Cricetulus griseus: one gene and its partners. The protein of the gene in region 3 purifies or fractionates together with the protein of the main gene of each other region. This does not show direct contact. Links are inferred from orthologs where the notes say so. Each region holds a gene or a part of one and is shown on either strand. Other genes may lie near its edges.

The links.
Region 1: the proteins of Ogt (region 3) and Dido1 purify together in Homo sapiens (affinity purification with mass spectrometry; 3 studies listed by BioGRID and IntAct, with this or other methods). This does not show direct contact. The link is inferred for Cricetulus griseus from reciprocal best matches to the Homo sapiens genes OGT and DIDO1.
Region 2: the proteins of Ogt (region 3) and Setd1a purify together in Homo sapiens (affinity purification with mass spectrometry; 4 studies listed by BioGRID and IntAct, with this or other methods). This does not show direct contact. The link is inferred for Cricetulus griseus from reciprocal best matches to the Homo sapiens genes OGT and SETD1A.

What each region holds. Positions count from the first base shown.
Region 1 is NC_048599.1:1,273,093-1,277,303, reverse strand, and holds the end of Dido1 (death-inducer obliterator 1), read right to left. Parts: coding exon 1,621-4,211; 3' UTR 618-1,620; downstream 1-617. UniProt on the Homo sapiens protein: Putative transcription factor, weakly pro-apoptotic when overexpressed. Tumor suppressor. Required for early embryonic stem cell development.
Region 2 is NC_048596.1:72,994,074-72,998,201, reverse strand, and holds the start of Setd1a (histone-lysine N-methyltransferase SETD1A), read left to right. Parts: upstream 1-1,289; 5' UTR 1,290-1,484; intron 1,485-1,763; exon of another isoform or gene 1,764-1,985; intron 1,986-1,997; exon of another isoform or gene 1,998-2,145; intron 2,146-2,329; exon of another isoform or gene 2,330-2,470; intron 2,471-2,798; 5' UTR 2,799-2,813; coding exon 2,814-2,963; intron 2,964-3,155; coding exon 3,156-3,251; intron 3,252-4,128. UniProt on the Homo sapiens protein: Histone methyltransferase that catalyzes methyl group transfer from S-adenosyl-L-methionine to the epsilon-amino group of 'Lys-4' of histone H3 (H3K4) via a non-processive mechanism.
Region 3 is NC_048604.1:68,602,550-68,605,020, forward strand, and holds part of Ogt (UDP-N-acetylglucosamine--peptide N-acetylglucosaminyltransferase 110 kDa subunit), read right to left. Parts: intron 2,225-2,471; coding exon 1,972-2,224; intron 1,720-1,971; coding exon 1,596-1,719; intron 464-1,595; coding exon 289-463; 3' UTR 1-288. UniProt on the Homo sapiens protein: Catalyzes the transfer of a single N-acetylglucosamine from UDP-GlcNAc to a serine or threonine residue in cytoplasmic and nuclear proteins resulting in their modification with a beta-linked N-acetylglucosamine (O-GlcNAc).

The DNA of each region.
Region 1 (4,211 bases), on a different chromosome or scaffold from region 3:
GCTCCAACACGGGTTGCCTTCAGTGACACTTGCAGGCTTCCTGCAAGCCCACACATATGCAATCAGGGTTCTATATAGGATGCTGGCCAGCACATTGCTCCTTGGGTCCTGACACCATACAGCAGGCAGCATCCAACACAGGCTGCTAGTTGGGAGTGGGAAGCTTGTGCCTGCACCTGTGACAACTGGGGGTCAAGGCTAAGTGAAGAGAGAGACAAGAACTCTGTAGATATTTATTCTACTTCAAGTAACAAAACCTATGAAGTCCTGTGTTTAAATGGACAGTGATATAACACTCTGCAATACAAAATACAATGTACAGAAATTTCTACCAAGTAAACCTAAAGAAACACACTTGATTTTTATGCTTGTGCATTTAAGTTAGAAAATTTTACTTTATATGTTAAAAAAAACTTCACATCTTTTTAGATGTTGAAACTGACACTTTCATGTAATTTAAACTACTGACATTTGGTTTGTAATAGCAAATATCCCAAATTGCTATTTTTTTCATGTCTTCTCAACTTAAAAAATTTGTGCTATAAAGTGAAAAAAAAATCTGTAGTGATGTACAATGAAATAAAAGACTCCAAAGAACAAACGAAGCTCTCTAATTCTCTATCTGAAAAAGTAAGTTTATGAAAATATAAAATGAACTATCAAACATATTTGCACAGTCAAATAAGTTAGCCAACCTTCTCACGGTATTTTCAGAGGGGCTACGTGGCAACAGCAGAGTAGCCTAAAGGCTACGAAGCAGTCTGTTTCACCCTCAGTCCTCTTCCAGATTTGGTACAAACATTGCCACATCTCACCGAGAAGCTTCCAAACCCATCACCTGTCTGGGGCCTGAGAGAGCCACTCAGAGGACAGCACCGGGCAATGCTTTTCTGAATGGCTCCTGCCTCTTCCCTCTTAAGCTACTCTGAACTCTTTTTGCTTCTTCTTTAGGCTGATAAATTTGAACATTTAAAAATAAATTGTTATTTAAAATGTAACAATTTCCACTGGGACGGATTATTTCTAATTATGTTTTGAAAAAACTTCTAAAGAATGCGTTGTGGGGAACCAGGCCTAGGAAGACCGTTCTCCCACTGCAAGCACACACCGCAGCTCACCCCCTCAACAGTGCTTTCCATCCAGGACAGCACTGAGAGCCCCCGGACAGGTCAGGATACACGGAAGCAGAGATGGCAGCACAGGGAAAGCTAGCTCTACGGTCCACTGAAATTCCCTTAAGACTTACACCAGTCAAGTTATTGGAAAAGATAACTTTATAATCTGAAAAAAAAAAAGCAATATGCTTTTGTAGATACTTTCCCATTTCTGTAATTTTAAATGGAAACATTAAGTTATTAAAAAAACATCAGAATTGTAAAGTTGGGAAATTTTGTAACAAACCATTATACACAAAATTACAGTAATTCCTGAAGTCCAGAATATTATATCCTGCATCTAAGTTCATAGCTATTTCAAAAACTCTTTGCTCAACACATTTTATGTACTTGGCTTTTAAAGGGGTCTTTGCCAGGCTAAGCCTCTATTAACAATAGCTGACACGAGGTCTTTGTCCTCACCAGCGTGTCTCTGTCTTGTCACCAGCCCTGAGTGCAATGGCCTCTAGGCCTGGGCTGTGGCGGGGCCCCCATCAGAGGTCCTAGCCTCAGACTTCAGATCCCGAGGGCTCTCTCTGCTCTTGCTACGGTCCTTCCGGTCCCGGCCTCGGTCCCGGTCCCGGTCCCGGGCTCTCTCACGGTCCCTGTCTCGGTCCCTGCTCCGGGACCTGTCTCGGTCTCGCCGCCTTTCCCGGTCACGGTCGCGATTCCTGCTTCTCTCCCGGTTTCGGTCCCAGTCCTTAGCCCGGTCGGCGTCTCTCTCCCTGTCCCTGTTGGAGCTCCTGTCTCTGCCTTTGTCCCACTCCCGGTGCCGGTCCCACTCCCGGCTCCTCTCCCAGTCTCTCTCCCGACTCCAGTTTCGGCCTCGCTCTCGCCTCCGATCCTCAAACGCCCGGCCCTGCCGATTCTCCAACCCTTGAGCTTCAGGCTCATCCAGAGGCTTCTCTTTAGGTCCTCCTTCAAACCGCTCCCTCTGTCTCCCTTCAAAAGCTGGGCTCCTATACTCATGCCCTTTGCCTTCTCGGAACTCAGGCGTGGCCCACTGCCCGTCAGCCTCGGGGCCCTGCCCAGACCCAGCACCGGAAGGCAGGGCAGTGGCCGGGCCTGCATCATCCCATCGGTCCTTCCTGTGCTGAGGAGGGTGGCTTGGTAGCTCCAGCAGGGGCCGAGGGGGAGGCTTTACGGGCTGGGAAGACTGGCCTTGGAAGTGAAATCGAGAAGGTGGCTGTTCATTTTTCTCAGCAAAGGGTGCGGGCCCCCGTGGTCCTCCATACGGCAGGGGTGCAGGTGCCCTCTGACCTGCAAACCGTGGCGGTGAGTTCACCCTCTGCTCTTCGAACTGCTGGGGCTGAACACCACGGGGGCCGGGCATGAAACCTGGTGCTTGGCCCCTGGGTCCTTCAAATTGGCCAGGGTGCGGGCCCCGGGGAGTCTCGAACTGACTAGGATGTGGCCCACGTGGGCCCACAAAATGGCCAGGTGGTGGTCCCCTTTGGCCTCCAAACTGAGATGGCGGAGGCCCTCCACGGGGCCCTTTCATCTGAGTCAGCAGGGGCCGTCTCTGGCCTCCAAATTGGAAGGGTGCCCTGTTCCCCATGAACTGGGCCTGGTCCGGTCCTTCACACTGAGCAGGGGCACCTGCCATCTCGTTGTATGGTGTATCCTGGAATTCCCTCTTCTCCCCATGTGGGTCTTTGCGTTCTTCAAACTGGGCTGGTGCTCCTCCTCTGGGCCCACCAAGGTAAGAAGGTGAGAGTCCCCTGTTGTCCCCATAGGGAGGTGGCCCATGTTGCCCAGAGAATAAGGAAGGGATTGGTGGCTTCTGGGCCCCAAATCGGGCAGGTGGAGGGCCCCTTGGTCCATCATTATTAGGAACAATACTCTCTTCTGAAAAGGGAGGGACTGGCCCCCTAGGTCCTGGGAAACCAGGGCCATGGTGTCCTGACATCCCAAAAGTGCGTGGCAAAGGTTCCCGCTGGGCAGGAAACTGCGGCTGAGGGCCCCCTCCCCTCTGCCCAGGCTGGGGGAATTGAGTAGTTCCCTCGCCAGTCCTGAGCTGTGGCTCCCTGCTGTCCTCAGTATCAGCCACTGGGCTGTCACTCCTCCCAGCAGACTGAGCACCCCGAGTGTCCTCGTATTGGGATGAGCCAAGAGATGTTTCCTGAGACAGAAACATAGGTCCTGGAAACGGCTCCCTGCCTCCGGAGGTGAAATTCTGTGCTTCAGGCTGCAAAGGGAAGCTGGGTGGAAAGGCGGTGCTAGGAGGCGTGGGCAGTAGCACTCTTCGGGGCGCTGTGGGCCTGGATGCACCATCACCAGCAGCAGGAAGGTGGCTGTTGTCCAGGGGCAAGGAGACAGGGTTACCAGGGTGCTCACACTTCTGCATATCATGTTCAGGCCTCAACACAGCGTTTTCACCCGGAGCCCAGGGAACAGCCTCTGACTCCTTGGCTTCAGGAGCTAGGGCAGGTCCCTGGACTGCTGCAGTCCCAGCAGCAGGCATCTCCCTGGCAGGGAGGGTGCCTTGTGGGCCAGGTGTGCTTCCTGTGGGAGCCCTGGGAAGAGGCTCACTCTCGGTGTTCTCAGCAGCCAGCCTCCTGGCCTGCCTCGGGTCCCTACTGTGTCTGGAGTCTAAGCTGTGGTTGGCACCCAGGGCTCCATGACTTGGGTCCTGGGCCTGCTGTTCCTGAGAGAACAGGTCTGTCTTGGCCAGGGAGGACTTGGGAGGTGGTGACATCAGTGCATCTGACACAGAGAAGTGTGCCATGGAAGCGCCAACTGCAGCCCTCTGCTGCCTAAGGGCTTCTTCCTGCTCCTCCAGCTGCCTCTTTTGCTCCTCGATCTGCTTATTTAGCTCTTCTAACATTTTCTGTTGCTCTACTAGAGAGGGATTAGTGGCATCGGTGGCAAAGTCAGCAGGCCTCTCCGTGGAGCTGACTTTCACACACATCCGATTGGGCAGGTCATCAATGGTCACTTTAGCTTCCTCTAAGATGGTCTCATCTTCTGGATCGTAGGCCACCTCTTCCCTCTCAGCTGTCTCAGGGACATTTTCCACGTCATGGCGCCTCCCTGGCTCAGCAAGCAGAGTATGGA
Region 2 (4,128 bases), on a different chromosome or scaffold from region 3:
CAGTTGTGGCCTCTAAACTCTTGTTTCTACACTTGGGATTTCATGTAAGTTTCTTCCTGAGTGATCACTTCATCCTACAGGACTATTCATAGGTTCTCTCATTTAGTCCTCACAGTCATCTCAATAAACAAGTATCATTTCCATTTCAGACAGGCAGCTGAGGCCAGGAAGGCTGATGCTCTTGCCCCACAGCCACACAGTCTGTGTGATTACCACAGCCTTCTACTGAGACAAAACAAAGGAACATCTCTCATATATATATATATATATATTTTTTCCCTCAGCCTCATAATTTTAGAGCACAATTCCTGTCAGTCTTGTGGTGAGAGACCTTGTACAGTCTTCATTTGATTACTTGGTCAATTAAAACGTGAAAAGGTAGGCACCAATAGTTTTCCCTACACTGTTGTGAGGGTTACATCAAGTTTTTTTGTGACCAACAGCCACCTATTCTTGGAGGGATGACCTGAAACTAAGGGAGGTCAATGTGAGGGACTGTTATGGAGGAGCCACCGAGGGCATCCTTGGCTCCGGAAGCACATCTGGTGGGAATGCCACTGTTCACTGGATGAAAAGGGGTGTTCAGCCTTGGCGCAGTCTCAGCTCCAAGCAAGCTTCCAAGTGAGACCCTGGCTTTGGGCTCCAGTGAGCACAGGGAGCCCTAGCCTAGGAACCGCCTGTGGATTACTGGGTTACTATCAGACCTTTACTTCCATAGGACACAAGGGTCCTCAGGCCTCTCTCAAACTTATCAGACTGAACCCTGAGACAGCTTTAAATCTAGTTACGCGCCCCTTGGGTCTGTCTGTCCGACACAGCTCAATATCCCCCGTCGGTGAAACGGGCATTTTAAAACAGGCCCAAGCGATGTGTAGCTAGGGCGCCCAGCACGCAAGAAGCCCTGGGTCAGACGCCCAGCAGCCCATACACCGGTTACGGCGGCGCACCTGTAACCCCAGCCCTCAGCAGACAGGGGCAAAGAGACCAGGAGCTCGAGGTCATCGTTCGGTGCGGAGCCAGTTCGATGTTACTCTGCCCGAGAAATAACAGGGGCCCGAGTGGACCAGCGGGAGGAAACCGACCGCTTCGTTACGTACGCGGGGCCGGCAAAGCGCCTGAGTCACCGCTCCCGCTTGTATTTTTCCACCTCCCATCCCGCCCAGGTTTTGGTGGATTCTACGGGAAGCAGCCCGTTACGCCGGGCTCCGCACGCCTGGCCACGCCTCTCTGCGCGGCGCGTCGGCCCCGCCCACAACAGGATCCGCAGATTCGCTACCCGACTCCTTAGGGTTATCTGGGCAGCTTCCCTTGTCTGAGATTTGTCATGAAACTCTGAGGAGACTTTTCCCCCCTGTGAGCATTTCGCCCCGAGTCGGAAGTGGGCTGCTGCTTGAGTTGTGCTAGAAACAAACATCCAGGAGTACTGGCCGACACCGCCAACGGGGCTCGGCTACCCGGGCGTCCTTTTCTCGACTCCACCGCAGGTGAGCGGAGGTGACGGCCAGAGCCCAGCACGGTGGCGAATCTGCAGCGCAGCCTCACAGGCGCTAGAGCTGCGCGAGGAAGGGGCAGGCAAGAGGAGCGAAGGAGCGCGCATCCTGTCCACTCTCTCGCCCCGCCCGCCCGCTCGCTCGCCCGCTCGCCCGCCCGCCTCGCGAATCTGCGTCGCCCGACGCACCACTCAAATCTCCCGAGCTCCGGCCGGCCTCCTCCCCCTCGCTCCGCCCCCCTTCCCTCAGGGGGCCCGTCGCAGCTTTCGTCGCCGCCGATTCGTCACGAACCCCAAGGCCAGAGCAGCTGGATCAGGGTGGTGCAGTCCACTCTCCGGGGGATGCGGCCAATCTTCAGGCTCCCTGGGCTACGACTCCCGAGCCTTACAGGGCGCCGCCCGAGGCAAGGCCGCCACACTCGGCCCCGTGGACCTCTCCGCAGCGCTCGCGGCGAAAGTGCGAATGCAGACGCGGCGCCCGCTGGGCCTCGTGCAGGTGGCGGTGGTGTTTGGTGCGCGCGCCGGGGAGGTGGTGGTGGGGGGGCGCCGCCGCCCCGCTGCGGGGCCGGGTCTCGCGCTGCGCCGCCGCCGCCGCCGCCTCACGCCGCTGAGGTGCTGCGCGCGGTGGGGGAGGGTGAGCCGCTCGCCACGAGCGGGTGAGTAGGGCCCTGGCGCGTGCGTGCGTGCGTGAGTGCGCGGAGCCGGGGTGTGTGTGGGGGGGGCACCGAACGCGCCCGGGCGGGAGGAGAGGGCAGCGGCGCGCGTTACCCGCCCCCCCCCCACCCAGCGCCCGCCCGCTCGCTCGCCCGCTCGCCCGCCCGCCCGGATTCAGGGACCGAAGCTGGGTCTCAGGCTCGGTCTCGCGGTGTTTCCAACGCCCCGAAGAAGTGCCACCTCTGGTCCAGAGGATCGGGGCGCGGGGACGCGAGCGGCTGTGTGGGAGCGGGAGCGGGAGCGGGGCTTGGCCCGGGCCGCTGGCCGGTGAGGAGGCGGGAGGGGGCGGGGCCTGCGAGGGGACGGGGGAGGGGTCTTGCGTGGAGGCCAAGTGGGGCGCGCTAGGGAGAGCGGGAAGGTAAGGGGGCGCGAGATGGGCCCTGGGCCCTGAGGGTAGAATTGGGGGTGGAGAGGAATGGAGTGTTACGGTGAACCTGGGTCCTCAGGGCAGAATCTGAGGGAGCCGTGGGTCATGCTGAGGTATGGAAACCGGACTGTTAGGAGAACCTGGAATCTGGGCAAGCCATTGAGGGGACAGCAACGGAGTCAGGCCGAAGCCTTGGACCCCCATTGCGTATCCCTCTTTTCCTGACAGTGTAAATGAGCAAGGATGGACCAGGAAGGTGGGGGAGATGGGCAGAAAGCCCCGAGCTTCCAGTGGCGGAACTACAAGCTCATAGTGGATCCTGCTCTGGACCCTGCCCTGCGCAGGCCTTCTCAAAAGGTGTACCGCTATGATGGAGTCCACTTCAGTGTCAGTGTGAGTGCACCAGACCTCCTCTTGGCTTCCTTGGTCCTCCCCCCATCCCCCTGTTGAATATCCAACACTAGACCTCCTGTACCTGTAGCTTGGTTTTCTGAGAATGAGCAAGTTACACCAGCTCTTCTGTATGTGGCTTCATAGAGTCAATAGCCTGGTAGATTTTCATGCTGGTCTCATTCTGTTTACTAGGACTCAAAGTATACGCCAGTGGAAGACCTCCAAGACCCCCGCTGCCATGTCAGGTCCAAAAACAGAGACTTTTCTCTCCCAGTTCCGAAGTTTAAGGTAATTATCTGCTGGTCTCCCAGCATGTTGGTTCTCGGAGAGTGTCAAGGATCCTAGCACCCTGGTCTTTTCATAGTCTTCGAAAGTGGCTATTCCAGTGGATCACTGACGACCAGATCATTGCTATTGAGTCCGTGAGGCTGAGATGTTTGGGACAGGAGGTACACTTGCATAGCTGAGGTGTTTCTAGTAGAGGGATGAGGTATAGGGGGATGCCCTAGTTATTCAGCAGTTAGGGGTACTGCTAAGGCCACTGCCCACTTGGTGTCCTTGGTTCCTCACTGTCATTTGGGTATGTGCTCCAACTTGCTTGTAAGAACAGCTCCATTTCCGGATTTAATGGGATATTCTTCAAGCTTTGGACTGAGCCTAGAAAGCTGGTGGTTCTTTGTTTCCTTCCAATTTTGTTTTTTTCATTGATTCTTAATTTATCGGGTGCTTTCACCTCTTTCACTTTCCCTGAGCAGTCTCACTTAAGCTCTGTTTTCTGAATGTTTATTTCCCATACCTATTTCCATCTAACACCTACCCAGACACTAGAGACTTAAACACATTATCCTTATTCTCTCGGTCCTTTTCGTTTTTTTCTTTACTGAAACAGCAACACCAGGTACTCAGGTGCATGAGCTAGAAACCTACGAGTCACCTGGTAGTTATTTCCTTTCCATAGTCATAATCTTTGTCTTTCATTGCTGTTTTCTTCATGCAGAGTCTTATGTATTTCACTTGGTTTTCCTGGCTCCCTCCTCAATTTTAGCTTCTATCTTGCTGTCATTAGTCTCTGGCACTGTTGTTCTTACTTTATGTTCTCATTTTATGTTTCTGAGTGTGTCTTTTCTTTCCTTTGTTTTTTGTTGTTGTTGTTGTTTTGTTTTTG
Region 3 (2,471 bases):
CATCCCGTGGAAGACCAAGGGAGACCAGACCTTCCAGACCTCTGCACCATCTGCTTGCTATAAAACTCTACAGAGATTCCTTGTGAAATAGCAGTTTCTTATCTCTTGTCTCTCCCCATCATGCAGGAAGCAAGTCTGGCTGTGCTATTCTATTATCGCTATATATCACCCATCTGCAACACGGTACTGTACAGATACAGATAAGCACAAAGCATGTTATCTAGTTCCCTTTCCCCCAGAAGGTCGAGGCTCAGGTACAGGGGTAATTCTCCTGTGCGTGGTCTTTATTCAGGCTGACTCAGTGACTTCAACAGGCTTAATCATGTGGTCAGGTTTGTTGCCAGCTGCATAATGCTCCCACATCTGCAGATAGAGTCGCTCTAATTCCATTGTGTATTGTTTGGTGTTGAACAAAGGGCTAGATATTCTCTGTTTCCAAACTTTGCCACGAATTTTCTTCAGGCTAGGTAATAAAAACAAAGATAACCAATTTTACAAGTCAGAACAAAAACTCAGAACTAGACCCTATGAATACCTAGTCATTTTTGTGTGAGAATAATATAAAAAATAATAATTCTTAGAAGGGCAGTAGTGGTGCATGCCTTTAATCCCAGCACTTGGGAGACAGAGGCAGTCAGATCTTGTCTACAAAGCGAGTTCCAGGAGGGCTGAACCAAAAATAACACTTTTTTCTGATTGGCCTGTCAACACAAACATCTGGGAAGAGGGAACCTCAAGTGAGAAATTCCACCCACCAGACTGATCTATGGGCATGTCTGTAAGGCATTTTCTTGATTAATGTCAGAGGACCTAAGTCAATATGGGCGGTGTCACTCCTAGCAAGCAGGCTGAGCAATGTCACGGGGAGCAAGCCACCAAGTAGTGTTCCTCCATTTCTGTGCTCTAATTCTTGCTGCCAGGTTCTTGCCTTGGCATCTGTTCATGATGAACTGTGATATGAATACATAAGCCAGATAAACTCTTTCTTCTCCAAGTTGATTTTGGTTATGGAGTTTAACAAAGAAATATATTGAAAGTTGGCTGTCCATTGGTGCTCAACCAAACTGTATTCATATTAATATTAATGCTTCCTTTCAAATAACAAAACAAAAAAGAGCCTATGGACTATTTGTATATTTGGGTGTGTATGCATGTAAAGGCCAGAGGACTCACAGAGGTCGCCTGCCTCTGCCTCCCAAGTGCTGGGGTTAAAGGTGTGTGCTAATAATGTCCAGCAGGGAAAAAAATTAATGCATTAAACATAAAACAAAGAGACAAATTAGAAACACTATTTCATTGAATGAGTGAAGCTCCATTTACCTTAGCATGATCCCTCTAATTCCCACTCATTTTCAGGCAACTAAGTTTTTTTTAATGCTTTTTTGTTGGTGGTGGTGGTGCTTTTTAAAATCCTACTATGAAAAAGTGGAACATCTGATGCTTTTGAAAGTTCTTTATTAAAGTTTACTGATTACTTGAGAGTTTAGACCATGTCCCATGAAGAGAGCATACAACTTAATTCATCTATTTTATATTACTTATGGCTTTATTTTAGCCACATTCTCCATATAGTTTGCTTCTAGCAGTTTACTTACTATTCTAAATCAGTGCCCAATTTCACAGCTATGTCTTCATATTCTTGTCTGCTTTTAGCAATGAGCTCAAGACATCCTAGGCAAGTGAGCTGAGAGGCTGCAACCCGAGAGGCCAGAGTCTCTCCTAGAAGGTAAAGATAATAATGCACATCTTAGAACTGTAAGTCACACAGTCATCAATGTTAATTGCATTTAAGGATCCACACAGTACAGATGAGGAGGATGGTGCCAAGTATTCAAGCTTGAAAAAGTCCCATTTTCTATCATCCCACCTTAATTACTTCTAGTACACACCATTTCACCTTCAAGTACTCTTCTTGACCCAAACGAAAAATTAACGAATAAAGAATGATGCCATGATTTATCAGCCACTTACCTGGCATAGTCACCATGGGTGTTCCTGCCCAGAGAACATCCATCCCTGTAGTGTGCCCATTACATAAGGGAGTGTCCAGGCAGACATCAGCCAGCTGACCTCTCCTGACATGCTCCTCTTTAGGAGCCACGGGTGAAAAAATTATACGGTTCTGGGGAAGGCCCATATTTTGTGCATATTGTTGAATATTAGGTTCTCCTACTGCTGGAAAACGCAACAGCCAAAGCACGCTATTAGGTACACGTTTCAGAATCTTAAAAAAAAAAAAAAAAAAGAAAAAAAAAAGAAAAAAAAAAAGGAAAATGAGAAGATTAATAGTACTTCTGCCCTTTCCCAAAATCATTCTATTTCACTTTATTCTTTACATTGAGAAGCATACTTGAGATGTGGTGATGTAGCTCAGTTGGGATAGTTTGCCTAGCACAAAGTCCTATGACTGACCCCCAACACCACCTAATCTAGGCAACGTGGCACACACCTATAATCCTAGCAGAATTGAA